Schizosaccharomyces pombe: one gene and its partners. The protein of the gene in region 2 interacts with the protein of the main gene of each other region in a biochemical or structural test. Each region holds a gene or a part of one and is shown on either strand. Other genes may lie near its edges. The genes, in order: pos1, sid2, klp2 and spa2.

Evidence for each region.
Region 1: of the proteins of sid2 (region 2) and pos1, one has a biochemical effect on the other in vitro, tested with the Schizosaccharomyces pombe proteins (one study listed by BioGRID).
Region 3: of the proteins of sid2 (region 2) and klp2, one has a biochemical effect on the other in vitro, tested with the Schizosaccharomyces pombe proteins (one study listed by BioGRID).
Region 4: of the proteins of sid2 (region 2) and spa2, one has a biochemical effect on the other in vitro, tested with the Schizosaccharomyces pombe proteins (one study listed by BioGRID).

Annotation. Positions count from the first base shown.
Region 1 is NC_003424.3:3,512,120-3,517,282, forward strand, and holds pos1 (protein Pos1), read left to right. Parts: upstream 1-1,878; 5' UTR 1,879-1,909; coding exon 1,910-2,011; intron 2,012-2,067; coding exon 2,068-2,775; 3' UTR 2,776-3,296; downstream 3,297-5,163. Other genes in the region: vph1 (V-type ATPase V0 subunit a), read right to left, coding at 1-675, 729-829, 882-900; RhoGEF Scd1, read left to right, coding at 3,711-3,735, 3,814-5,163.
Region 2 is NC_003424.3:220,535-226,661, reverse strand, and holds sid2 (serine/threonine protein kinase (NDR family) Sid2), read left to right. Parts: upstream 1-2,708; 5' UTR 2,709-2,809; coding exon 2,810-4,633; 3' UTR 4,634-4,968; downstream 4,969-6,127. Other genes in the region: dnf2 (phospholipid-transporting ATPase), read left to right, coding at 1-2,266; cfh1 (chitin synthase regulatory factor-like Chr3), read left to right, coding at 5,207-6,127. UniProt on the Schizosaccharomyces pombe protein: Part of a signaling pathway. Required for initiation of medial ring constriction and septation.
Region 3 is NC_003424.3:1,719,079-1,725,563, reverse strand, and holds klp2 (kinesin-14 family minus-end directed microtubule motor Klp2), read right to left. Parts: upstream 3,611-6,485; 5' UTR 3,570-3,610; coding exon 3,540-3,569; exon of another isoform or gene 3,495-3,539; coding exon 1,071-3,494; 3' UTR 662-1,070; downstream 1-661. Other genes in the region: gamma-glutamyltranspeptidase Ggt1, read right to left, coding at 4,176-6,068. UniProt on the Schizosaccharomyces pombe protein: Minus end-directed microtubule (MT) motor that is involved in spindle microtubule shortening, kinetochore capture, and polarization of cytoplasmic microtubules. During mitosis, promotes spindle microtubule shortening by depolymerization.
Region 4 is NC_003424.3:3,172,536-3,178,937, forward strand, and holds spa2 (GTPase-activating protein), read right to left. Parts: upstream 3,807-6,402; 5' UTR 3,525-3,806; coding exon 3,458-3,524; exon of another isoform or gene 3,372-3,457; coding exon 3,243-3,371; exon of another isoform or gene 3,195-3,242; coding exon 1,411-3,194; 3' UTR 1,088-1,410; downstream 1-1,087. Other genes in the region: phenylalanine--tRNA (Phe) ligase alpha subunit Frs2, read right to left, coding at 1-164, 233-322, 517-810; RNA polymerase II CTD phosphatase Ssu72, read right to left, coding at 3,953-4,463, 4,513-4,595.

The DNA of each region.
Region 1 (5,163 bases), 3.3 Mb from region 2:
TTTGCGAATGCGTAAGAGAATTTGAGTACCGTGGGCGATAACCAAAAAGATGGTTTTTTCTTCGTTCTTTTCCGCACCATGAATTAAAGAGTCGTCAGCCCGCACTTGATGAATAAACAAATTACCACGTAAAGTTCTCCATAAAATACGTTCTAGAAATTGAAACTTCACCGTAGGAATAATACCAGAAACGAAATCTAGAGTGGTGTTCATTTGTGGACTAGTTTCTTCACTGTCAAAAGTACCAGTGGTGCCCAATTCCAGGGCGTTTTCAATTAAAGGGGCGGTGGTGTCGTCTTCACCAGAAAAGATGGAGCTAGTTTCGTAGTTGTTGCGAAGTGGATCAACCGTGTTACCACTCTTCGAAAAGAATGCATCAGCTTTTGTCAATACGTTGGCAAACTCTAACTGCTGAAGATATCGAGCCTCTAACAACTGGCTTGACTCAACCAACTGTCGTACACGAGCCTCCAGCCTAGTGATTCTTTCAATGATATCTTCGATAGTGCTGCTTTCTAAAACAGACTCATAACTAGGAGGAAGATTGTGATCTGGGACATGAATGCCATTCAAGTCGATTTCTGAGTGAAGATAGCGAAGTAGTCGCTCAGTATCAGTCAAGCGTCGAATTTCACGAACGAAGGATCGTTGAAAAGCTACAACATCAGGGTTTAACTTAAAGAGTTAGTATAAAACTTCTAAGTCTCTCTCAAAATGCAAATCCTTACATCTTTAAAATGGATAGTCGACAACTCCCCAAGTGCCGACATAATAGGTCGAGCAGACTCCGTGGGGAGGTATAACTGTACCAGGGATACCTCCTCAGATCCTAGAATGCTTATTAGTATACTTAATTTGACATATCTTTAATATTTACGTACTGAATAAAGACGGTGACATATTGGGAGTAGGTACGTAGAATGTGGTAGCAGTAGTATATACACCAACTATTTACAGTACAGCCAGTGCAATTGCGATTAGTCTATGAAACAACAGCTAAATTGTGAATTTAACTTATTTTAAGTTACGTTTTATAATAATGAAATGTTATTGAAATGAACAATGATTTTGAGTCGATAAAAATTTTCTGCTAAAATGTGCGTTAAATGTCTAGATTCGAGAGACAAATACGATGAATCTCTATCTATAAATTTGATGAAAGATATTTTACTCTCTATTTCTTAAAAAAATAAAACCATTTGTCCCCACAACTGTTTGTGAAAAAATAAAAATGAAATGCGGTAGTCTGAATGGAATTTCACAGTGTTGACTTACTGTTTGCTATAAAGTATTTAATTGATACAATCATTTCATCTCGTAGACTTTTATTTAGTGCGACGAAAAAGCATTCAGTCAAAATTAAAATGAGAAGACACTGTAGAACGAACATTGTAAGAAATTGGTTTAATGTTTTTAGAAAAAATTCTTTACCGCTTTCTTTTATTAAACAGAAACAAGATTACAGGTCTCCCTTGCTTTGGCTTTCACGGAAGTGTGTTGAATTGGATTTATAATTTAAGATCATACTTCGTGACATATACGCTGGCTATTAAGTATGCAATTAGAGCCTTAGGATTTTTTAGCTATGGTCTAAGTGATAATCAGCTTTCGTGGAAAAGTTATATTTTAATCAGAACAGTTGTCTAAGTGATCTGTGGCTGTAAAACGTTAGAAAGCCGGTTTCTCAGATAAAATACCTTAACTACAATCGAATTACTAATTACCTCAAAAAGTTTCGATTCATTTAGACTAATCTTCGTACTCATAAAATATTATTTTTACAATACATAGTTATAAACATTTGTTACTCGTTTCGCCAAGTCACAATTTCCGCTACTCATAGTAAGTACTTGGAGCTTCCATGTTTTAAGCTAGTGCCAAACGCAGTATATTTTCGACTGTAAGCGCGATGGCCTTTTCTCCAGCTAATTCCTTTTTAATTAACAAGTCGATATGTGAGAGCAAAGAAGTGGAACCTTTAGAAGCCAATTTGTTTGGCAAATTGCACAATGTATGTAAAGTTTTAAATAGAAACATTAATTCAGTGTGTTAACATGCAAAATTTAGAAATTATTAATTTGCAAAGCCAAAAAAGAAAATTTGGAAAAGAAACTGGCATATCAAATGATGTACTCGAAGCTTCTCAAATCTTTACCCAAGTTAAGCAGTCTAGAGGAGAACAAATTAACCAAACTAAAGGCTCCTATAGAGGATATGGAGAATACGAAGAAAGAGCTGGAAGAAATCAGGAAACAATCCACTGAGACAGAGTTACGTTATCTTAAGTCTCTATCGAACACTTTGAGCTTTGGTACATTATCTTTATCAAACGAGATTAACAAGGTTGGTCCTTCAGCTTCTTTTATGCTGAAGGAAGTTCATGATAGCGTACAAGTATTGGAACAACGACTTGAAAAGATGGGTCTCATCGAAAAGCCATCCGAATCTTCTGAATCCTCTATTTATTCCATCTTGGCTTCTTTAAAACATACCAACGACAGTTTACAGAAAAAAGAATTATCTCCTCATGAAATTGCCGAAAGTCCCTCTTCTCATTCGACCTCTCCAATGGGAAGAAACGTTGACACAGAAACACTGTCTTTTTTACTTATTGATTGGCAACGATTATGTGCAGAACAAAATACCTTTTTACGTGATATCACTAATAATATGAGCTCTTCTGTTCCTCAAGATGTATTATCTCAACTACGACAATTTTTCTTCCGAAGCGAGTTGTTGTCAGATAAGTTGTCAAACTTGTGCTCCGAGTCCTAGTCCTCAAATCTTTCCTATTTTCCCTTACTTATCTTTGTTCTTTCTGTCAAGCACTCACTCCTTTTACTTTAATATTTTTGTTTTCAGTCTTTTTATTAAGCCGTTACTCTCGTTATCCCTGTTTTATACTTTTAAGTCATCAGGTCCATTCGTTATCATTTTACTACTGTATTTCAATACGTTCTTAACATTAATTTTTTTAACTTTTTTGTCTCTTCTTATCAATTGAAAGGCTGAATTGGTTTATTTAGCATCGTCGTCCTTTTTAAAGACCTCACTCTTTTCTTGGACATCTACCTTTCCTACCAAATTTGTGTCTTACTAATTTTTTTTTTAATTCCCGTTCAATACATGATTTTCCTTGTTACATTACTAAAACAATCGCTCTACTTAATTTATTTACCAAATTTGCAAGCTTGCCTTTTGTAATCGTTTTAATATTGGGATGGTTGGAGATATCCCTTCATTTTTTTAGCAATGAAATTTCAGTTGCCAGCTATTTTATCGTCATAATATCTCCGTTTCAAAAGACTTAGCAGTAGGATTTTCTATCAAATGAACTGAAGAAACAAGTATATTTACCGTAATACATTTACGATACGCTATTCGATTCAACTGATCGCCAAGTGTCTCACTATTACCTTAGTACCTTGTCAACTATACATACTGTGATTTTATCAATTGCAGTAAAACAGCAACTTATTTTAGACAATTTTACTTTGGAGTCAGTTTTAATTTTTATATTTAATTCCAAAGAAACTTCAGGCTTTTTTATGTTTAAGAAATCTTGAAATTGGGTTGTTGGTTTGAATTTCCATTAATTGTTCAAGCATTGGACTACATGCGAGTACTTATACTTTTCTAGCAGTTAAAGGAAATTTTATTTTCTGTATTTTACTGCATTAGGAAGGAGTCTCGAGAAGAAGTTATCAGTTATGGCCTACTTTCAGGATCGCAAAAGTATGTAACGATTGAAAGAAATTTAGAACACAAAAACGCCATTTATGTGTATGCAATTAACTAACTAACTTCTAAAAGCATCCTCTAGGTCTCTTCCTTCTTACATCAATCACAGCACCCAAAACCTTGTAGGTCCTCGTAAAGATGAGACTAATCTGTCAGAATACATGAAACTTAGGCTTTTACAGTCTCCGTCACAAGTTATTTATAATTTAGAAAATACGGTTTCATTATACAGACGATGTCTAAATCTCCGGAAGCGATTGATGGATATATCAGAGTTGGCTGCTTTCTTTGACAGTATTCATCGTGAAGCCTTGAATAGCTCTTTCAAAATACTGGAATTTAAGGACATTGAATTTGATGATCCAGTTACGGAAATTTGGCTGTTTTGTCGTTTAGGTTATCCATTGTGTGCCCTGTTCAATTGCTTGCCAGTTAAGCAAAAATTGGAAGTTAATAGTTCGGTTTCTTTGGAAAATACGAACGTGTGTAAAGCTAGTTTATATCGTTTCATGCTCATGTGTAAAAATGAACTTGGACTCACAGACGCCGCCCTTTTTTCCATATCAGAAATTTATAAACCCTCGACAGCTCCACTTGTTAGAGCTCTTCAAACCATTGAACTTTTATTGAAAAAGTATGAAGTTTCCAATACCACAAAATCATCTTCTACTCCTAGTCCTTCTACTGATGATAATGTACCAACAGGAACTCTTAACAGCTTGATTGCATCTGGCCGTAGAGTCACTGCCGAATTATATGAAACCGAATTAAAATACATTCAAGATTTAGAATATTTGTCCAACTATATGGTCATACTTCAACAAAAACAAATTCTATCCCAGGACACTATTCTCAGTATATTTACGAATTTAAACGAGATTTTAGACTTTCAAAGACGTTTTTTGGTTGGTTTAGAGATGAATCTTTCGCTTCCTGTAGAAGAACAACGACTAGGCGCACTCTTCATTGCCTTAGAAGAGGGATTTTCTGTTTACCAAGTGTTTTGTACAAATTTTCCGAATGCTCAACAACTGATCATTGATAATCAAAATCAGTTACTGAAAGTTGCGAACCTGCTTGAGCCCTCTTATGAATTACCAGCTCTGCTGATTAAGCCTATACAGCGTATATGTAAATATCCGCTTCTCTTGAATCAATTACTAAAAGGTACTCCCTCAGGTTATCAGTACGAAGAGGAACTAAAACAAGGAATGGCTTGTGTAGTTCGTGTAGCAAACCAAGTTAATGAGACTCGTCGTATTCATGAAAACCGAAATGCCATTATTGAGCTTGAACAACGTGTGATTGATTGGAAAGGATACTCTCTTCAATACTTTGGACAACTGCTAGTTTGGGATGTTGTTAATGTATGCAAAGCCGATATAGAAAGAGAGTATCACGTTTACCTTTTTGAAAAAATTT
Region 2 (6,127 bases):
CATCTCGTCGCAGTTTGTTCATGACCTTGCTGGCAAAGCTGGTGAAGAACAGTCACTTGCATGCTATGAGTTTTTCTTGGCATTGGCCCTTTGTCATAGCGTAGTTGCAGACAGAGTTGGTGACCGGATTGTCTATAAAGCACAATCGCCAGATGAAGCTGCACTCGTGGGTACCGCCCGCGACGTTGGCTTTGTTTTTTTGGACCAGCGGAGAGACATTATGGTTACTCGTGCTCTTGGAGAAACCCAAAGATTCAAATTGATGGATACTATTGAATTCAGCTCAGCGAGGAAGAGAATGAGTGTGATCGTTAAAGGACCCGATAACCGTTATGTGCTTATTTGCAAAGGTGCTGATAGCATTATTTTCGAACGTTTGGAACCAAATGAACAAGTTGAATTACGTAAAACCACTTCTGAGCATCTCAGAATTTTTGCATTGGAAGGTTTACGAACACTTTGTATCGCAAAAAGAGAGCTTACTGAAGAGGAATATTACGAATGGAAAGAAAAGTATGACATCGCCGCATCTGCAATTGAAAACCGTGAGGAGCAAATAGAGGAAGTTGCCGATTTGATTGAATCTCATCTTACTTTGCTCGGTGGAACAGCTATTGAGGATCGATTACAAGAAGGAGTACCTGATTCAATTGCATTATTGGCTCAAGCCGGTATCAAATTGTGGGTTCTGACCGGAGACAAAATGGAGACTGCTATTAATATTGGTTTTTCTTGCAATTTATTGGACGCTGGCATGGACATGATTAAGTTTGATGTGGACCAAGAAGTGTCAACACCAGAGTTGGAAGTTATTTTAGCTGACTACTTATATCGTTATTTTGGTTTGTCTGGATCAGTTGAAGAACTTGAAGCTGCTAAGAAGGATCATGACACTCCCTCTGGCTCTCATGCGTTAGTTATTGATGGATCAGTACTTAAACGAGTTTTAGATGGTCCAATGAGAACCAAGTTTCTGCTACTTTGTAAAAGATGCAAGGCTGTCTTGTGTTGCCGTGTTAGTCCGGCTCAAAAAGCAGATGTTGTTCAATTGGTACGCGAAAGCCTTGAAGTAATGACGTTAGCCATTGGAGATGGTGCGAATGATGTTGCAATGATTCAAAAAGCTGATATTGGTGTTGGTATTGTTGGTGAAGAAGGCCGTGCTGCAGCTATGTCTGCGGATTATGCAATCGGTCAATTCCGATTTTTGAGCAAGCTGGTTCTTGTTCATGGCCGTTGGGATTATAATCGTGTTGCTGAAATGGTAAACAACTTTTTCTACAAGAGTGTTGTATGGACATTTACTTTATTCTGGTATCAGATTTACAACAATTTCGACGCAAATTACCTTTTCGATTATACTTATGTTATGCTGTTTAACTTGATTTTTTCATCGTTACCTGTCATTGTCATGGGTGTCTATGATCAAGATGTTAATGCTGATTTGTCGCTTCGGATCCCTCAGCTTTACAAGCGTGGTATTTTGCAATTAAATTCAGCCAGGAAAATCTTTATTGGATATATGCTTGATGGGTTTTATCAGTCTGTAATCTGTTTCTTTTTCTCTTTTCTTGTGATTAACAATGTGACCACAGCTGCTCAGAATGGTCGTGATACTATGGCTGTACAAGATTTAGGTGTTTACGTTGCTGCGCCAACTATTATGGTTGTCGACACGTATGTTATTCTGAATCAATCAAATTGGGATGTGTTTTCAATTGGTTTATGGGCGCTCAGTTGTTTGACATTTTGGTTTTGGACTGGCGTCTACTCTCAAAGCCTTTATACATATGAATTTTATAAATCTGCTTCGCGTATATTCAGAACTCCAAATTTTTGGGCTGTTTTATGTGGAACGATTGTAAGTTGTCTTTTCCCGAAGTTTTTGTTTATGACAACGCAAAAGTTATTTTGGCCATATGATGTGGATATCATTCGCGAAAGTTACCGCACTAAACGCCTTCATGAATTGGATGAAGAAGAGGAGATTGAGAATGCCGAACAATCTCCAGATTGGGCATCTTCTACTTTACAGGTCCCTTTCAACGCATCTTCGTCAAGTTTGGCGACACCCAAGAAAGAACCTTTACGTTTGGACACAAATTCGCTTACACTCACATCAAGTATGCCAAGAAGCTTTACCCCGTCATATACTCCAAGTTTCTTGGAGGGCTCTCCTGTGTTCTCTGATGAAATACTTAACAGAGGCGAATACATGCCTCATCGTGGTTCCATTTCTTCTTCTGAACAGCCGTTACGGCCTTAAAAAATGGCAAGTTAATAAGCTGAATTATCTAATCAAGATAATCTGTGTACCCATTCTATTTCTACGCTATGCTTAAGAACATAACTTTTCATACTAAAGAATGATGAATTATCGAATAATGATTATGATGTTATAGAAACATCTCTGCATACTAAATAAAATACATGAACGTTTACATTTTTCTTCTGAAATCAAAAGATTGCATCAAATTTAAAATGTATTTTGCATTCACAGTACATTTTAAAAATAACGAGATAAATTTACTATATCTAGTTTACATTTGTATGATAAATAATAAAAACAGACTTTTTAACAATCTTGTTCTAAGTAGTAAATTTGGTGGTTGGTTTTTTAAGTTTTGAAATTTCCAGCGACTGCTGTAATCAAACTTTGGTTGCTAAGGGTAAATGGCTGATACCTAACTCCGATGGAAATGTACTCTGCCGTAAACAAAACACGTAAGGTTATTATTGACAGGAGTTTTGCATTTTTTGGGGACCAAAACGTTGGATGTTTACGATACATATTTAAAGAAAACTAATAATGAATCGTGTTAATGATATGTCACCAGTTGAAGGTGATTTAGGACTTCAGCTAAGTTCTGAAGCAGATAAGAAATTTGATGCATATATGAAGCGACATGGTCTTTTTGAACCCGGCAACTTGTCGAATAATGATAAAGAAAGGAATTTGGAGGATCAATTTAATAGTATGAAGCTTTCCCCAGTGGCATCTTCGAAGGAAAATTATCCTGACAATCATATGCATTCAAAACACATTAGTAAGTTACCGATTGCAAGCCCTATTCCGCGTGGTCTTGATAGATCTGGCGAGTTGAGCTACAAGGATAATAATCATTGGTCAGATAGAAGTTCAACGGGTTCACCAAGATGGGAAAATGGATCTATGAACTTGTCAGTTGAAGAAATGGAGAAAGTGGTCCAACCTAAGGTAAAGAGAATGGCAACCATTTGTCAAATGTTCTTTTTAGACCATTACTTTGAGCAGCTTCATTATCTTTATACCCGCAAGCAAAGAGCCCGTCTTTTTGAAGAGCAGTTGCTTAAAGAGCCTGATTCACGAAGAGACGAGCTAGTGAAGCGATACAATGGACGTGAACGAGTATATCTAAGGAAAAGGAGGACACGCATTAGTCACGGAGATTTCCAGACCATCACTCAAGTCGGACAAGGTGGATATGGCTCTGTTTGGTTGGCTAGGAAGCGTGACACCAAAGAGATTGTTGCTTTGAAAATCATGAATAAATCGGTTTTGCATAAAATGGATGAGATCAGGCATGTTCTTACTGAGCGTGATATCCTTACGACAGCCAACTCGGAATGGTTAGTTCGTCTACTTTATGCTTTTCAGGATACTTCAAACATTTATCTCGCTATGGAATTTGTTCCTGGTGGTGATTTCCGTACTTTGCTTAGCAACAGTGGTGTTTTAAGGGATCATCATGCCAAGTTTTATGCTACAGAAATGTTCCTAGCTATTGATGCTTTGCATCAACTTGGTTACATCCATCGTGACCTTAAGCCAGAAAACTTTTTGGTTGGAGCTAGCGGCCATATTAAATTGACGGACTTTGGTTTAAGTTCTGGAATAATCAGCAAAAAGAAGATTGAAAGTATGAAGATTCGTCTTCAAGAAGTCAACAATGTCGTTGTTCCCGAAAGGAGCATGAGGGAAAGGCGACAAGTGTTTCGAACTCTTTTATCTCAGGATCCTGTATACGCTCATTCAGTAGTTGGCTCTCCTGATTATATGGCCCCAGAGGTTTTACGAGGTGAAAACTACAACCACTCTGTAGACTATTGGTCTCTTGGCTGCATCATGTATGAATGTCTTTCTGGTTTTCCTCCATTTTCTGGCTCCAATGTTAATGAAACCTGGTCTAACTTGAAGAATTGGCGCAAGTGTTTTCAACGCCCTCACTATGATGATCCCCGCGATTTGGAATTCAACTGGAGAGATGATGCATGGGATTTTGTATGTCACTGCATTACTGATCCCAAGGATCGCTTTTGTTCTCTTAAGCAAGTCATGCAACATCCTTACTTCTCAAAGATTGATTGGAAAAATGTTCGTACAGCATATCGTCCTCCGTTTGTACCCGACCTTAATTCTGAGATTGACGCAGGATATTTTGATGATTTCACTAATGAAAATGATATGTCTAAATATAAGGAAGTTCATGAGAAACAAGCTGCAATTGCTAATATGGTTAACACATTTAATAAGCCTAAACGCAATGCTTTTATCGGCTTCACTTTTAGGCATCAAAAAAATAGTCATCCTACTAGCTCTAGTAGCGCATTATCTAGTCCCCTCTCTGCTCCTTCTTTCGGGACTCTATTATAATCAAAGGGAAATTTAATGACCCTTGTTCATGGTATTTTTATAAGACATCTACTGTTATTAACTATTTTCGAAGATACTGAGCTTCGCTTTTGATGTTTTGACATTTACAGTACTGTCTTTTACTATTGCATTTCACTTTCGAACGGCATTTACATTACAATTTGCGAAAGTTATCACTTTAATTTTATGATGTTTATTTGGAAGTATCCTTTTTCATTATATTATATTATATTTTTATTTATCTTCCACTATTTTATTCGTCAATATTCAGCTTTCGCCATTTATATAGAAGAACTTGCAATTACCAGATAAATTATGTAAATCATTTACTTGATAGGGAAATAGACACTATCTGCAATTTAATATCTTGAACCATTTTTACTATTTTGGAAAATTTTTGTTTTCGTGTATTATTTGTTGTTTAGTGAGCTGTAAGATATTCGTTTTGTTGGCAACAGCAGAAGAGCTGTAACATTCATCAAACTGCGATACCTCATTATCCTCGTTTCTTACTGCTTTCCTCCTAAAGCGTCTACCTTTTGCTCTTTATTTCACTCGTAAATTAATCTGTTAATGAAAGATTCACATAGCTCTCGGAGGAAGTATGAGAAGGAAAAGTTGGTATTCGCAACGAATAATGGAAAAAGAACAGAGGGTACCCCAGCTTTTTTAAAAAGCGGTAACACAGCTTCTTCATCCTCCCCTACTCTTCAATTTCGTCCTACATCGAGATATCCGACATTGAGCCATGAACCAGTGTATACGAATGTTTTGGACCTGTCTTCAAGGATTGACGCGAACAGGGCTAGTATAATGAGCGCTACAATGGGTACTCCACCTTCAGCATTGAAATTCTCCAAGAAAAAAATATCCCGGCCTGTTGTTAGTGAAGATACCTTCAAAGACAAATTGCCGCGTGCAACCATACCGGTCAAGCCGGAGCCACAGCCACAGTATAAAATTCCAGCTGCACCTGCTCCTACAAGCAAACGTGTAGTTAACCGTGGGTTAAAGCTGAACACTAATTTGAGACAGGCTTCTCCTATTTTGCCTTCACCTAGTTTAAAGTTGGATCGGCAAGATGCCCCAATACAAATAAATCATGAGCAGAAAGAAGATTTTTTGGTTTCTATTCCGCGACCAACGCCAATGACCAATTTAGATGATGGAAAGGATGAGATTGGACAACCGGATCCTCATAGAAAATATATGGCACCTCCACGTGTTAATTCTATAAGTCGTGTACAGCGTCGTATGAGTTACATACCATACGGTGGGTTTGATGACTTCTTAGATAACTATTACAAGGATGACGATACTGTACTTGAAGACAATCAGCTTAAGAGTAACTCTCGAATAGAAACTTTGGAGGAAGAAGATGGAGCAGAAAGTGACTCCATCACAAATACAGTTTCTAATGCTTCGTCAGATGCAGAACCTGCTCATCGTCATTTGGGACCAGTTTATGAAAACTCTGGACACCTCCCTTCAAAA
Region 3 (6,485 bases), 1.5 Mb from region 2:
ACAAGCGGGATGGTGCGATGGTGAAGGAAAAGGAAGCTCGAAGAAGGTTTGCAGTAATACGGTACTAAACCGTTTTAAGAAGCCTGTGGTTACATGATAAAAATGCTTAATGTTGCTCTCGTTATAATTCAGTATTTGATAAACAAATGGAAAAGAATTGGACTATTGGCAAGATATAGAAAAATGCCACCTCAGTATTTACTGAAAAGGGATAGAAGCATTCAAATGAAAGAGAAAAAAAGGAAATGTATTCAAGATTGGCAGTGGAAAATTTATGGAAATTCCTATAATCCCACTAAGTGGATTAAGTAGCAATTAAGAAACCGAAATTAGTACAATTATTAAAGAAAATAAAGTATAATCTGTTAATTTTAGCTTATTCTATATTTCTTGGGTCAATCTGAAGAACATTCCGAAAGGAATAAAATATACAGTGGGTAGTAGAATTTCTAATATTTTTATTATCAAGAGAGAATTAAAGGAACTGCCAAGTTTGAGAAAAAAAAAATAGCTAGTAATATTATATTTTTGGATACTTGATCTTTTCTCCTAAATGTAATTCATCTGTGAAATTTAATTGCTCACCTTTGCTTCATCCAAAAGTCACTTGGAACAATTTTTGTAGTCAGTTACTTTCTAAGATTAACTATACTTTTGAACATACTTTATGAGATATGACTTCATTTTGAGCGAATTATAAACCACCGTACTAAGTAAGTTGGAATGTCATTAGGGTCTAGTCATAAAAGAAAATATTTGCTCAATACTATTATAGAAAACATAAAATATAATGGTAAAATTTGAAAACATTCAAAGGAAAGAACACATATAACCTAAAGAGCGTATTCGAATATATAAAAAAAAAGAGTGAGTTGGAAATGAACGCTTACTTGTATGTATACGTCCATTAAAACGATAATAGTTCTGACTTGTGGTTCTTTATAGGCCCATAAAAATTATTTTCAAAGTATACAAAAGAGAGCAAACAGATCTGTATATTTTACAAAAACGGAAAAGACAGCTCTCCTTATAAACAACAATCCTCAAGCCATCCTGTTGGTGCTTTCCGTTCATTTTGTGACTTTGCGTGCTGTGCCAATTTGAGTATTATTTACCTTTGTTGCAAATCTCAAACTGCATAATGTTTCGGGAACATGCTGTTTTAGTGGGGAAATATTGACAAACATGAGAGTTTTACTATTTCCTCCCAACGAATATTGTAACAAATTAGTCAGCTTGGAATTTCGATACGGAATGTACGTTCCTTCCTTTCCACTTCCCAAAGCATGTATTACATCTCCTAAACAACTTAAACTTTTGTTGATTGCCTGCGTTTCCTTCAAACGTTCACCCACACTTTGGCTACTCGAAAGTCTTTCGGATCCAGCCAGATCAATCAAATTAAGCGTACTTCTGCATGTTTCACCTGTCGTAGAATTGCTTCCATTCAAGTGTAGCATAAAAACTGAATGCGATCTTGAGGAATGTTCATTAGCATTGGTAGCCGCAACAGAACGGTTCTTCGAAGCTTGATCTAACAACCAGGTTACCTGCTCAGGTGTGTCTAACGGTTCGCTGGTTATATTGGTAATAGTCGTCCTTCCGGCCTTCGTGTCATGATATATCTCCAGTTTTTTCTTTCCCTTCTCTTCTTCATTTCCGGAGGCTAAAAGGTCAATAATGGTTTCATTGTATATTTCTAGAAATTGTCCTTCCATCCGATATTCCCAACCTCGTTCTTTCAAAGAAGTAGAGCGATTGTATATCATTCTTACAGATGAAGGGATCATTCCTGTATTTGAAGACATCGTATGCGTCTTGCCTGAACCTGTTTGACCGTAAGCGAATATACAAACATTATATCCGTCCATAGCACTTTGAATTAACTGTGACAGTTCATTAAATACATCCTCATTAGTCGTTTCAGGGGAAAATACACGATCGAAATTAAAGGCATACTGTTTTATCCCGTTCCCTGTTAACGAAGACCCTGGGGCTTGAGCAACAATCTCTATAGTACTAGCTTCGGAATTTTGATCAGGAAAAGCTATTTGTGCTGATTCTCCATCGCCAAGGGGAGGTCGCACTCGACAAAAAACGCGTATGTTACCTTTAAGTTCTTGAATGGTATTATGGAGTTTTCTTCTCAGAGTTTCCTCAGCTATGAGTTTCTCAACTAAACCGTCTCTCTCAACATTGGCAGATTTTAAAATGCCTTCTAGTTCTATAATCTTATTTTTCATAGTATAAACATCTTCTTCAAGTGTTTTGATAGTGCTTTCTAAAGCCCGATTTGTAGATTCAAGCTTCTGAACGTTGGCACTTTGTTGGTCCAACGAAGATTTCAGATTTTCCTTAACAACTGTTTCAGAAGCAAGTTCTCTTTGTAATTGTTCAATCTGCTGTTTCAAAGAATTATTTTCTTCCTGAAGCGGTTGAATTGCAGATTGCAGTCTTTTTTTTTCTAGATCATGCTTATTTTGGACACGTTGCATAGCCAGCGAAGCGCCCTCCTGAACTTTCTTTAATAAAGAATCCTTTTCCTCTTGTAGTCTGGAAATTTTGAGTTCATTTTCTGAAGTAAGCTCTTTAATCTTGTGTGAAAAGTGTTCTTCGGCAGACTGCAATTCATTTTTGTACTCCATGATTAAACTATTTGCTTTTTGTTCAATATTGGAAGCAAAATCCTGTAATTCTGCTTGATGCTGAAGCTCAGCTGTCTCCATCACCCGAGCATGGTTCTCTTCCAACATGGCCATGCGCTGATGATTTTCACTTTTCATTGAGTTTAACATTATCTCCAAACTCTCCATACCCTTTTGAGAAACGATTTTATTAGCCTCCGCCTCAGCTTTTTCTCTCAGAGCCACTGAAAATTGTTCTTGTAACTCCGATGTACGACTCCTCTCGACTTCTAATGATTCTTCAAGCATAGCAATTCTCTGTTCGTAAAATTTGTAATTAGCTGGTCTTTTTGAGGGTGAAGGAATAACTTTAGCCGATAATTGAGCATAAGCCATTTCCATACTCCTCAACCGGTCTTCTGTAGTCCTTAAGGCGCTGGCATTAACAGACTTTTCATCATTATAAGATTCCATACTTTCATCTGACATACTTCTCACATCATCGCTACTATTTAAACTGGATGAAACAGCACTGGCAGGTCTACCAAAATGAGAAGAAGCAGACACTGACCGACTTGAAATGGGATGTGCAGACTTGGGCATCCTGGGATTAGAGGACGCGGTAAAAGGCCTGGCTTTTTTTGCAAGACTAGAAGATTTAACCGAGGCTAAGCTTCCTGGTGGTAACATCTTACTGGGAAATTTAGCAGGTTTCAGTTGGTTAACTTCATTTTGCAATGATAACCGAGGTTTCAGAATATTTGATGAAGATGAATTAGTTTTAATAGTCGGAGGAGGTATATTAGACGTAAATTCTTTAGCAATTTCTCGACTTTGCGACAAAGAACTCGAGGACTGAGGTAGATGCGACTATAAGGAAAAAAATTAATAAATTACACTTAAATTTGTTCTTACAGTTAAACTTTTATGTCCTTCTTCTTCCATACTTTCTCCTTTTCCCCAAAAACATGTGGGTATTGTAAGGTGTTAGAGAAGTTGAGTTTCATAAGCTTAAATCAAAAGTTCACTATTCAACAATTTGTATGGTGGTATTCCATGGACCACGAAGGTCAAAAGCAAATATCCGATATTATGTGAATCTTTAATTCAATTTAATGATTTAGTATTAATTAACACAGTAAAGTATTTTTAATTAGTAAAGGAATATTTGCCATTCGTACATCGAAAGAAATATTTTACTGTTTTACGTTTAAAGTATGAAGATATATTATGTTACGGTTAGAATAAATTCGAAAGTTAAATGTAATTGTTCTTCGTTTTGCTAAAACTTTCTAAATCTAGGAAAGAATGTAATCTATCTAACTAACGAAGGTCCAATCATCACCATCATGTGCACAAATATGTAGACAGTGATCATTCATACGTTTTATGCTTTATAATATTTTTCTCTCATCCCAGCCACAAGCTAAAGATCAGTAAAAAGCACATAAAGATTGAGAATAAGTTAATAAACCTGATAAATTAATAACAACAAATAAAGGAAAATTTTGTGAGCGTCTAAGGAGTTTTTTTTAATAATTTAGTGAAATTTTAATAGGCAGCAGCAACAGCCTGTTTTCGGCTATCACTTAAACCGTACAATGTGCCGTTGGTGCGGAAAACAGCTTGAATTTCACTGAAAGGATATTGAACGGGGATTAAATCCACTATATGACCAAACTTTTCTAAAGCTCTAAGAACTTCAATTTCAACAGTTTCATCGATATAGACGATATTAGGCATTAGCTGATGATGAAATCTAGGACTCTCAACAGATTCTAACAATGACTTGCCCCATTTATATTTTTTAATAATTGTGTCTAACACAGCTGTCACGATTCGGCTGCCACCGCTACCACCAAGAACCATTTCAACTTCACCATTATATACCAAAATCGTAGGCACCGCGGAGCTTTGTGGTCGCTTACCAGGGGCAATAAAGTTGTATGGCGATGGACTCAAACCGAAAGCATTCACTATTCCTGGAGAAGCAAAATCGTCCATGTGATCATTCAGTATAATACCCGTTTCAGGTTCCAAAAGTTGTGAACCAAACATCAAATTGATAGAAGCTGTGAGTCCGACTGCCATATTGTCTTTGTCGATAACGGAAAGATGAGTAGTGCCGTGATCGTTAGGGAAATCGTATTCGGCCTTGTAGTGAGTAAAATCAAAAGTCCTCTCGTTAGAAATATTATTGCGAATTTCATCAGCATATTCCAAAGAAAGTAACTGTTCAACATGATCTGTATTATTGTAAAAAGTTGGGTCTGCTAATACAGTCCGTCCAGCGGACATCCATTTCATTGTTTCAATTAGATGGTGCACGCCAATATCCGTCATTTCACAACCAAGGATAGAAGTACCTTCACTTAAATCTACTTTTGAAAGAACATTTAAACCTAAAATCAAAGCCTCTCCACTACAAGGGGATCCACAAGTAATAACCTCACGATCATAGAAGTTACCATAAATAGGTTCCTCCACAACAACTGAAAAATTGGCCATATCCTCCATGGTTAGTATACCTCCTTGCTGTTGAACAAACTTTACAAGCCTTTCTGCAATTTTTCCTGTGTAAAACACTTCAGGACCAAACTTAGCTATTTCTTCGAGGGTAGACGCTAGAGCAGGCCGATAAAACTTTTCTCCAACGTGTAAAAAAACACCTTCTGGAGCAAATATTTTAGACCAATCTGGATGAGTCTTGAAATAGGAAAACTCGGGTCGTCTGATGCGAGACGCAAGTTCCTTGGGCATTGGCATTCCATCTCTCATAAGACGTATGGTTGGTTCAAACAACTTATGCCAAGGTAGAGAGCCATACATTTTCCAAGCACGCTCGTAGCCAGCAATTTCACCAGGGACGGCAACGGAAAGACCACCTACCTGTGACAGGGTAGAGTTACCATGAAACATATTTTTGCTGGCACCCGCTGGAGCAGTCTCGCGAAAGTTCAAGGAATGTGCTGTACCATTTGGATGGCGTATTAACATAAATCCACCACCGCCAATACCACTTGAAAATGAATTGACAGCTCCAATGCAAATTCCCGATGCGATAGCCGCATCCACTGCATTTCCACCGGCCTTCAAGATGCCAACACCAATTTGGGAGCATGTCTCTTCCTCCGTAGCCACAACTCCATTTTTTCCTTCAACTACTACTCTCTGCGAGCCTTTGTTTTTATATTTGAAGGAGCACCGTTGATTTGCAAAAAAAAGGTCGGGAGATAAAATTGGCCAGATGTATAAAGAAAGTATTGTGCCTGCCAAAACAAGAAATGTGACAAGAATAGAGGGACGAGAAGCCCGTTCTTCTAGAGCTGAAGTGGCTGATTTCTTATTAGATGATAAATGCCGATTTCCAGACTTCACATTTACAGAACTTCGAGCGATGGAAGCAGCCCCTGAACTCTGAGCAGAAGACGTATTGATACCCATCACAATTTAAAAAGTGCTGAAAATATCCAAAAAAAAAAAAACAAGGTATGAAATGGAATGAAATTAAATTTAAAAAAAATACCTTTACCAAGATTAAGGAATCTTGCACAAAACCTTTGAGAAGAGGGTATGGATGAAGAAAATGAAAAGAACTTCTAATTTAACAAATTTAATTTTTGGGGAAAAATGACCCAAAATGGACTAAAGAAAGCCAACCGCAACTTCTACACCTTTTTTTTACGATATTAGCATGAAGAAATCAACAAGGCTAATCAATAATTGAATAGCGTTAGCTTTAAATAAATTCAACGGAAGAAATCCTTGCTTCTCAAGAGAACGGCTCGAGTTTGCTGTGTGCGTGCAAGTTGAGAGAAATAAGCGGGAGGCAAATTGGTGGAGCAAACCACATATCTAATT
Region 4 (6,402 bases), 3.0 Mb from region 2:
TGAAGCGAGAAATTTGGACCTTTCCTCAAAGAGAAGTACATAATTTTGTTACGTTCAACAAGCTTTCTCTTCTTCAAATCAGTTAACGTCTTACTGTCAGAGATAGTTCCATGTTCCTTAATTTCACTAAGGACCTTAGGGGTCTCATCTGTAATGGAATCAGTCTGGTCAGTTAGTAAATAAAATATTGCATAACGTTAAATCAATTTGCACTACTATAACTTTGCCTTACATTTTTAACAAGCTTGTCTCCATCTTTCTTAATCCAACCGAGTTTAAAGGCTCTTCCTTGACCAATACCAGCCGAATTCCCCAATTTTTTCTAAATCAGTTAGAAAAAGTACAAAAAAACTAAAAGGCAGACGTAGCGATATGAAAAGGTGTTGCATCAAAACGCGAAAAATCGAAAATGCAACATAATGCTAGAAAAAAAAAACTAACAATATTTACCGGGCGTTTAGACTTAATTATATTTAAATGCTTCGTCGTTCACAACTACGATTCCAATGACTTTACCTTGAGTTCCCCAATATTTAAACCGCTCATAGAAGCGCAAATTTCATTATAAACTTTGGCTTCATGAGAACCATTTGCGCAAATGTTTTCACCCTCTGCAGTCAAATTGTAAATTTCAATTTCATGTCTTGAAAATTCAATCATGTTTTTAGCAGCTAATGACAAAATCGCCGATTGAGCTTCTTGAGGACCTAACTTCTTCCCATCGAATTCCAAATGACTGGTGTTTGGAATTTCATTTTTTTCGTTTAGCTTTTCAAGCAGGAAAACTTGAAGGGCTTCAAGCTTTGACATCTTACAGCTTTGTTGGTGTGTTGGCAGTAGGTAAAGTAACTGGCGATACGCGAGTGCTACGGTGAAACGGTGAGCATCGGATTCAAAGCACTACACATTAAGCCGTCGTTGACAAGTTTATGTTTTATGTACTACTAAAATTTATATATGGTAAGAGCATACAAATTATGTCAGATAGAAAATGTTCGGGACATCCTAATTCAGATTATCCATCTCTGTTTGAAATCGCTGATATAGCTACGATACTCTAACAACATCACGAAAACAGTAAAAAACGTACTTATGAGAATTCTTTTAATGTCAATTAAAAAAATTGATCGATTTAGTATAATTAAACTTGGTAAAGAATAGAAAATTAACAAAAATGAATAACAAAGAGTGATTATAGGCATGTATAGCCAGTTAGTGGTAAACATTGATTTACCCGACAAAGTTCATCATTTGAAGCCAAAATAAAATTGAGGGATTAGCTTATACAGCTGAAAAAGAGGTTTGGTGGGAGCAACCATTGATATCGGAATTCAACAATATTATAGAATATAAACAAGGTGGAGAAAACCAATGTAGCTTCGCAAATTAGTTATATCAACATTTGTTGCTTTAACGGGTGGAGAATTGTGTCCGCTGGACGCTAAATTCCGCATCTTCGATAGCCCGTAAAATATCTTTAAAGCATTTGGCCGCAGAAAAGGCGAGATCAGTCAGAGGGGGTACGGAGTTGTTGTCTGTAAATCCAAAGTTTTCACCATGTCCTTCTTGCTCAATTAACTGCATGCAATATCTTCGCATTTCCTGAAGAGCGTTATGAATTACCGCGTACGCGGCACGATCCCGCATAAGTTCTAACGGTGAAGATACATCAAAAAGTGTGTCACGTATAACGTTGATGTCTTCATGAACTCTTTGCTGGATGGTAGACGAAGAACTATCACTGCTAATAGCATCCAAAAGCTTTTGATTGGTCTCACTAAATTGTTTAGATTTTTCGGAAAGCAAGGTTTTTGCAACAGATAATGCCTTCAAATCGTCAACCGGATGAAGTGAATTTCTTCCGACCGAAAGAGAAGATTTTCCCGTGTTGGTAAGTCCATAGGTTTTTGCAATGTCCATAAGACTGATACTTATAGAGCAAGCAGAAGCATCGACGTGATAAATGGGAAGTAAGGCACCATTTATTACAGCGAGTCTTACTTGCTCCATTAAACTATTTGTGAACGAACATAAATCATCAACCTTTTTTCCTAAATCGGGAAGCTCTTCTAAAAGCGACTTCTCCCGCAAACTGGAAACAATGGCTTCCAAAGTCAAAGCAATATCCTTAGCAGTAGACATCCACTGAGAAGGGCTATCCCTTCTTAAAGATGCCACAAAGACATTCATTTCAACGAAATAACGAATATAAAGCTGTTCATCTAAAAATCCATTGGGTGAAATCAGTTCCCGAATAGACTTCATTGGAACAGTAGTCATGGTAAACAATCTTATATCTTCGTCAATTTTTGCGGACTTCGCGTTGATAGCAACCTTTTTCCAGCGTTCCGTTTCGGCCTTCAAGGAGTCAATACAGCTTTCCAATTCGACAATGTGCTGGGTTTTTGAAGATTCGGCAACAATCAATTCTTGCATTAGCTTTAGGTTTTTTTCCAACTCAGGATTAAAACTAAGCGTTGGGTTGTTTTCGAGCTCTTTTATTCGATTTTCAGCATCGTTTAGCTTTTTTATTGAAATTTCAGCCTCATGGGATGCCTCATGAAGCTTTTCCTCCAATTGAAAGATTTCATTCTTATGTTTCGTAGCATCAGAAATGCTTTTGGCTTTTAAAGCCTCCATTTCAGATTTTGAGCTGTCAAGCAAAGAGTTCGATTTTGCCAAACTACTTTCCAACATCTCAATTCTACTCAAGTAATTTGACGAAGAATCAATTCCCGTCTGAGCACCCTGGCTCAATGACGAGGTAGAGGAATTATTTGCTTGAACAGTATTTAAAGCATTGGTATCTGGAACATTCGGTAGACGATGAGACAAGGAAGTAGGAGAATCAGTATGCGTTCTATTAGCATAACTTGGTATAGTGGGAGAGCTTGTGGTTCTTTGTTCAGTTGGATGAAGGGAAGCGGAAGAGGCGTTGGCACTGCTATACAGATCGTGCTTGGGAGCGGAAGCAGGTAAACGTTGCACCTGAGGAGGAGGCTGAGAAGCAGCTCTAGTCATGTTTGGTGGTGTATTTGAAGAAACTTCTTTTAAAGCACCACTATATCTTGATTGAACTTCAAAAAACACATCCATACAAAGATCCCGAAGCCTTGTAGGAGCAAGACTAGAAAGTTTTTGTCGAGCATGATTCCGCTTGGGATGATAAGAATCAACAGGAGGTAAGAATCTGACTATAAGGGGTTAGAATTGTAGACTCATAAGAGTGTAAATCAAAATACCTTTGGGATCATTGTTGATCCTACGCTGTAGTTCATCAGCAACGTCTGTTAAAAGTTCACTGAACTGAATATGAGACAAACGCTGAAGCTTTTCACGTGGCCTCGCATTGGCGTTCCTTAGGGCTGGGTCTATAAAATAGCGTTAGAGGTGATTACATTGTTTCCGTGGGTCAAAGCAATTGTACAGCTTAATTTTAAACCAATTTTTAACATACCTTTAACAAATTCAGGCTCTAAGTAACGAGCTAAAAACCGATATTGACGAATAATAATACTTTGCATAGTTTGAAAGCAAATTTAAGACTAGGGATTTGAGGAAAGAAGTTGGAAAAAATGAGCTTTCTATCTTTTTCAGGGAATTAAATGATATGTCCTTTCTTTTACGCTGACTTGAAAAAGATAGACTGTGTAAATTAACTTAAGGCAGTTGTACTAATACAATGGGCAAGGACGTGCTGGACCCTAAATTAATTTGATATAATTTTTCTGTGAATTAAATTTTTAAAGAAAAAGTCTTTAAAATGCCTAATGTACTGCCAAACACATTAACAGGCAAACGAGTGCGAAGAGAAATCTTCTATCTAAAAATATTACTGACAGCTTTGCGTCCTTGCCAATTTACTGTGTTTATTACTTAGAACGTTGTAGATATACTAGGAGAAAGGACATGCTTTATTAAATTCGATAACGACGTGTAACGATAAATGATATTAAAAAAAATGAATAGTATACAATACAGGAAGTTTAGGATGGTTAGATTGAAAGTCGGCCATTATAGAAGGGAACAGCTCTTCCAATTTATCCTGTGCCTCGGTTAATTTGTTGACTAAATCGAGAATGGCCTTTCCACCTACGCTGGCCTCCTCATGGTTATCTTTAATGTCAACGTTTATTAAGTACACAGGTCGATTCAATGTTTCACCTCGACGATACAGATCCTCACAAATGGCATCATAACATCTTTCTTCGCAGGTTATTACAATGTTGTATATGGAATCTTGGTCCTGCCACCGACAAGGAGCGCGCTTTATACGGCGATTTCGGTCAAGCATTTTAAGCAATCCATTGGCCGTGTATAGCCGGGAATCCTGGGCCTCGAGCTCTTTATAAATTTCATCATATGGATACCCAAATTGATAAATGTTAGGTTTGTCAATACTGGGACCCGGCAACCGTACAGCTGAACCTGTTCCGAACGAATCAACTTGGTATCCAGCATTCCTTCAATGGAGATTAGCAAACTACCTCATAAAATTCAAAAATGACATACTTTAAGACGTTGTGAGCTTCCATACTTCGATTTTGGTTCGAAGCACAAATTACACTGATCTGGAGGTTGGTTTTGGGAGCCATTATTTGGTATTATTGTTTACTGACTAACGTTGGTAAGGCTTTAAAAGGTTTTACTTTCCTTTCTTTATTATTGCAAGATTTTTATCTTACTAAATTAGACATACAGCCAAAGGTCCAAACTCGTTCTTTGCAGTGTATACAATATGACACGCTGTAAGCAACAGCCTTTCAAAATTACCACGCTGCTTTACGATGCGATATATCGATATGTTGCATCACAAAAGCAGAGGCTCTTGAAATGAATCTCATCTTTGCAGAGTATAATTTCTACTTTAATTAATTATCTTAAATGTTTTATAAAAATAAAAATTCTCCACGTTGTATTCGTCTGATAGCAATTTTTCAAAGATAGGGTTTGAATAAATACGTCTATACTCCACTACCCATACTACATTAATGATTGTTAACTTTACAAAATTATGCCTAATTCAAAAACTCCTTATTATAATATTAATAATAAAACTACTCATCGCCAGCACTTTAAAAAGCCGTATAAAATTAGTGAGAAATCATTGTATTGTCAAACAAAATTTGCGGTTGGATCAATCAACAATTCTTGGCTGTTAATCTCAAAATGAATAAAGTTCAAACATACAAACTGGCGTATGAAGCATTAAGTTTTGAGCTGATCTACTTAGAGTAGTTTCGTACATACCATACTCTTTCATTTCATTTATCGCTTAAGATTTCCAAGTTTTGAGTATTATATAGGGTAGGTCTTCAATCTTTGTGACTGTTTCAATAAATTCGATTTAGTATATATTTTGCATAACTTAACCAATTTTAATTCAACGCGAAATGATGACTTTAGGCATTTGTCCAAAGGATACAACTTCAGTTATTGAATTAGTACCACTGTAGACAAAACCCTAGCTACCTTTTAATTTTGTCTGATCGTGTGTAAAACGTTTACGACAATAATGATTAGCTTAGTTGAAGATATCGCGGATACTGAAAAATATATGACCAGCCTAAATAAAATCGGTGTATGTAATTTTGTCTTGAAAAGCTATAAAGTTACTGTGTGGTTAATGCAGTTTTTCGTTAGTAGAAAATACAAAAATCAGGTTCACTCAGTAAGCTTCTTAAAGTGAAATATGACATTCAACAGTACTCATTAATTTTGCGAATCGAAACAGTTAGTGACTTGCCTTAAATATAGTCAGTAAATAAGAAAAAAAAAAGAAAATGTAAAGGCACATCATATTATGCAAAGAAGGACTACGTTGCTATAATGCATGCAAACCATATCCAATAAGTAAAAGACGTAGATGCTATTTCTATATCAAAAGAAACATATTCACATGTTTTATATACAAAGAATCCGTCAGAAAAACCATACGTGCTAACTGGCAAATCGGCTCTTCCCATAAGTAGACGATGATCTTGCAGCGTCACGGTATAATCCTAATCTAGTGATTTCGTTCCCCTTTTCTAAAGCTTTTCTCGTTCGCTGGACTTTACGCCAAACAGACTTCTCCTTTTTAATATACCATATGTTTCAGTTAACTGATCGCGCAATTCAGGCTTAATAAACGGTAAGCAGTCTATATTTCTTTTTCTCTTTCGCTTCAAAATAGAGCTTTAATTTAGTTATTGTGATCAAATAGTCTCAATTATTCGTCTGCTATGAAGAATGTCAAAGCTGTTACGGTTATCATAATTAAAACCACTAACACTGACAAAACTGTTATTTCTTTTGATCTCTTGAGCTAACTGAGTAGACTTAATCACAGCGCAATTTTCTTTGCTTTCGTGTCAAACGATTATGACAAACCATTGTGGAAACATTTTGTACATTAGCAGT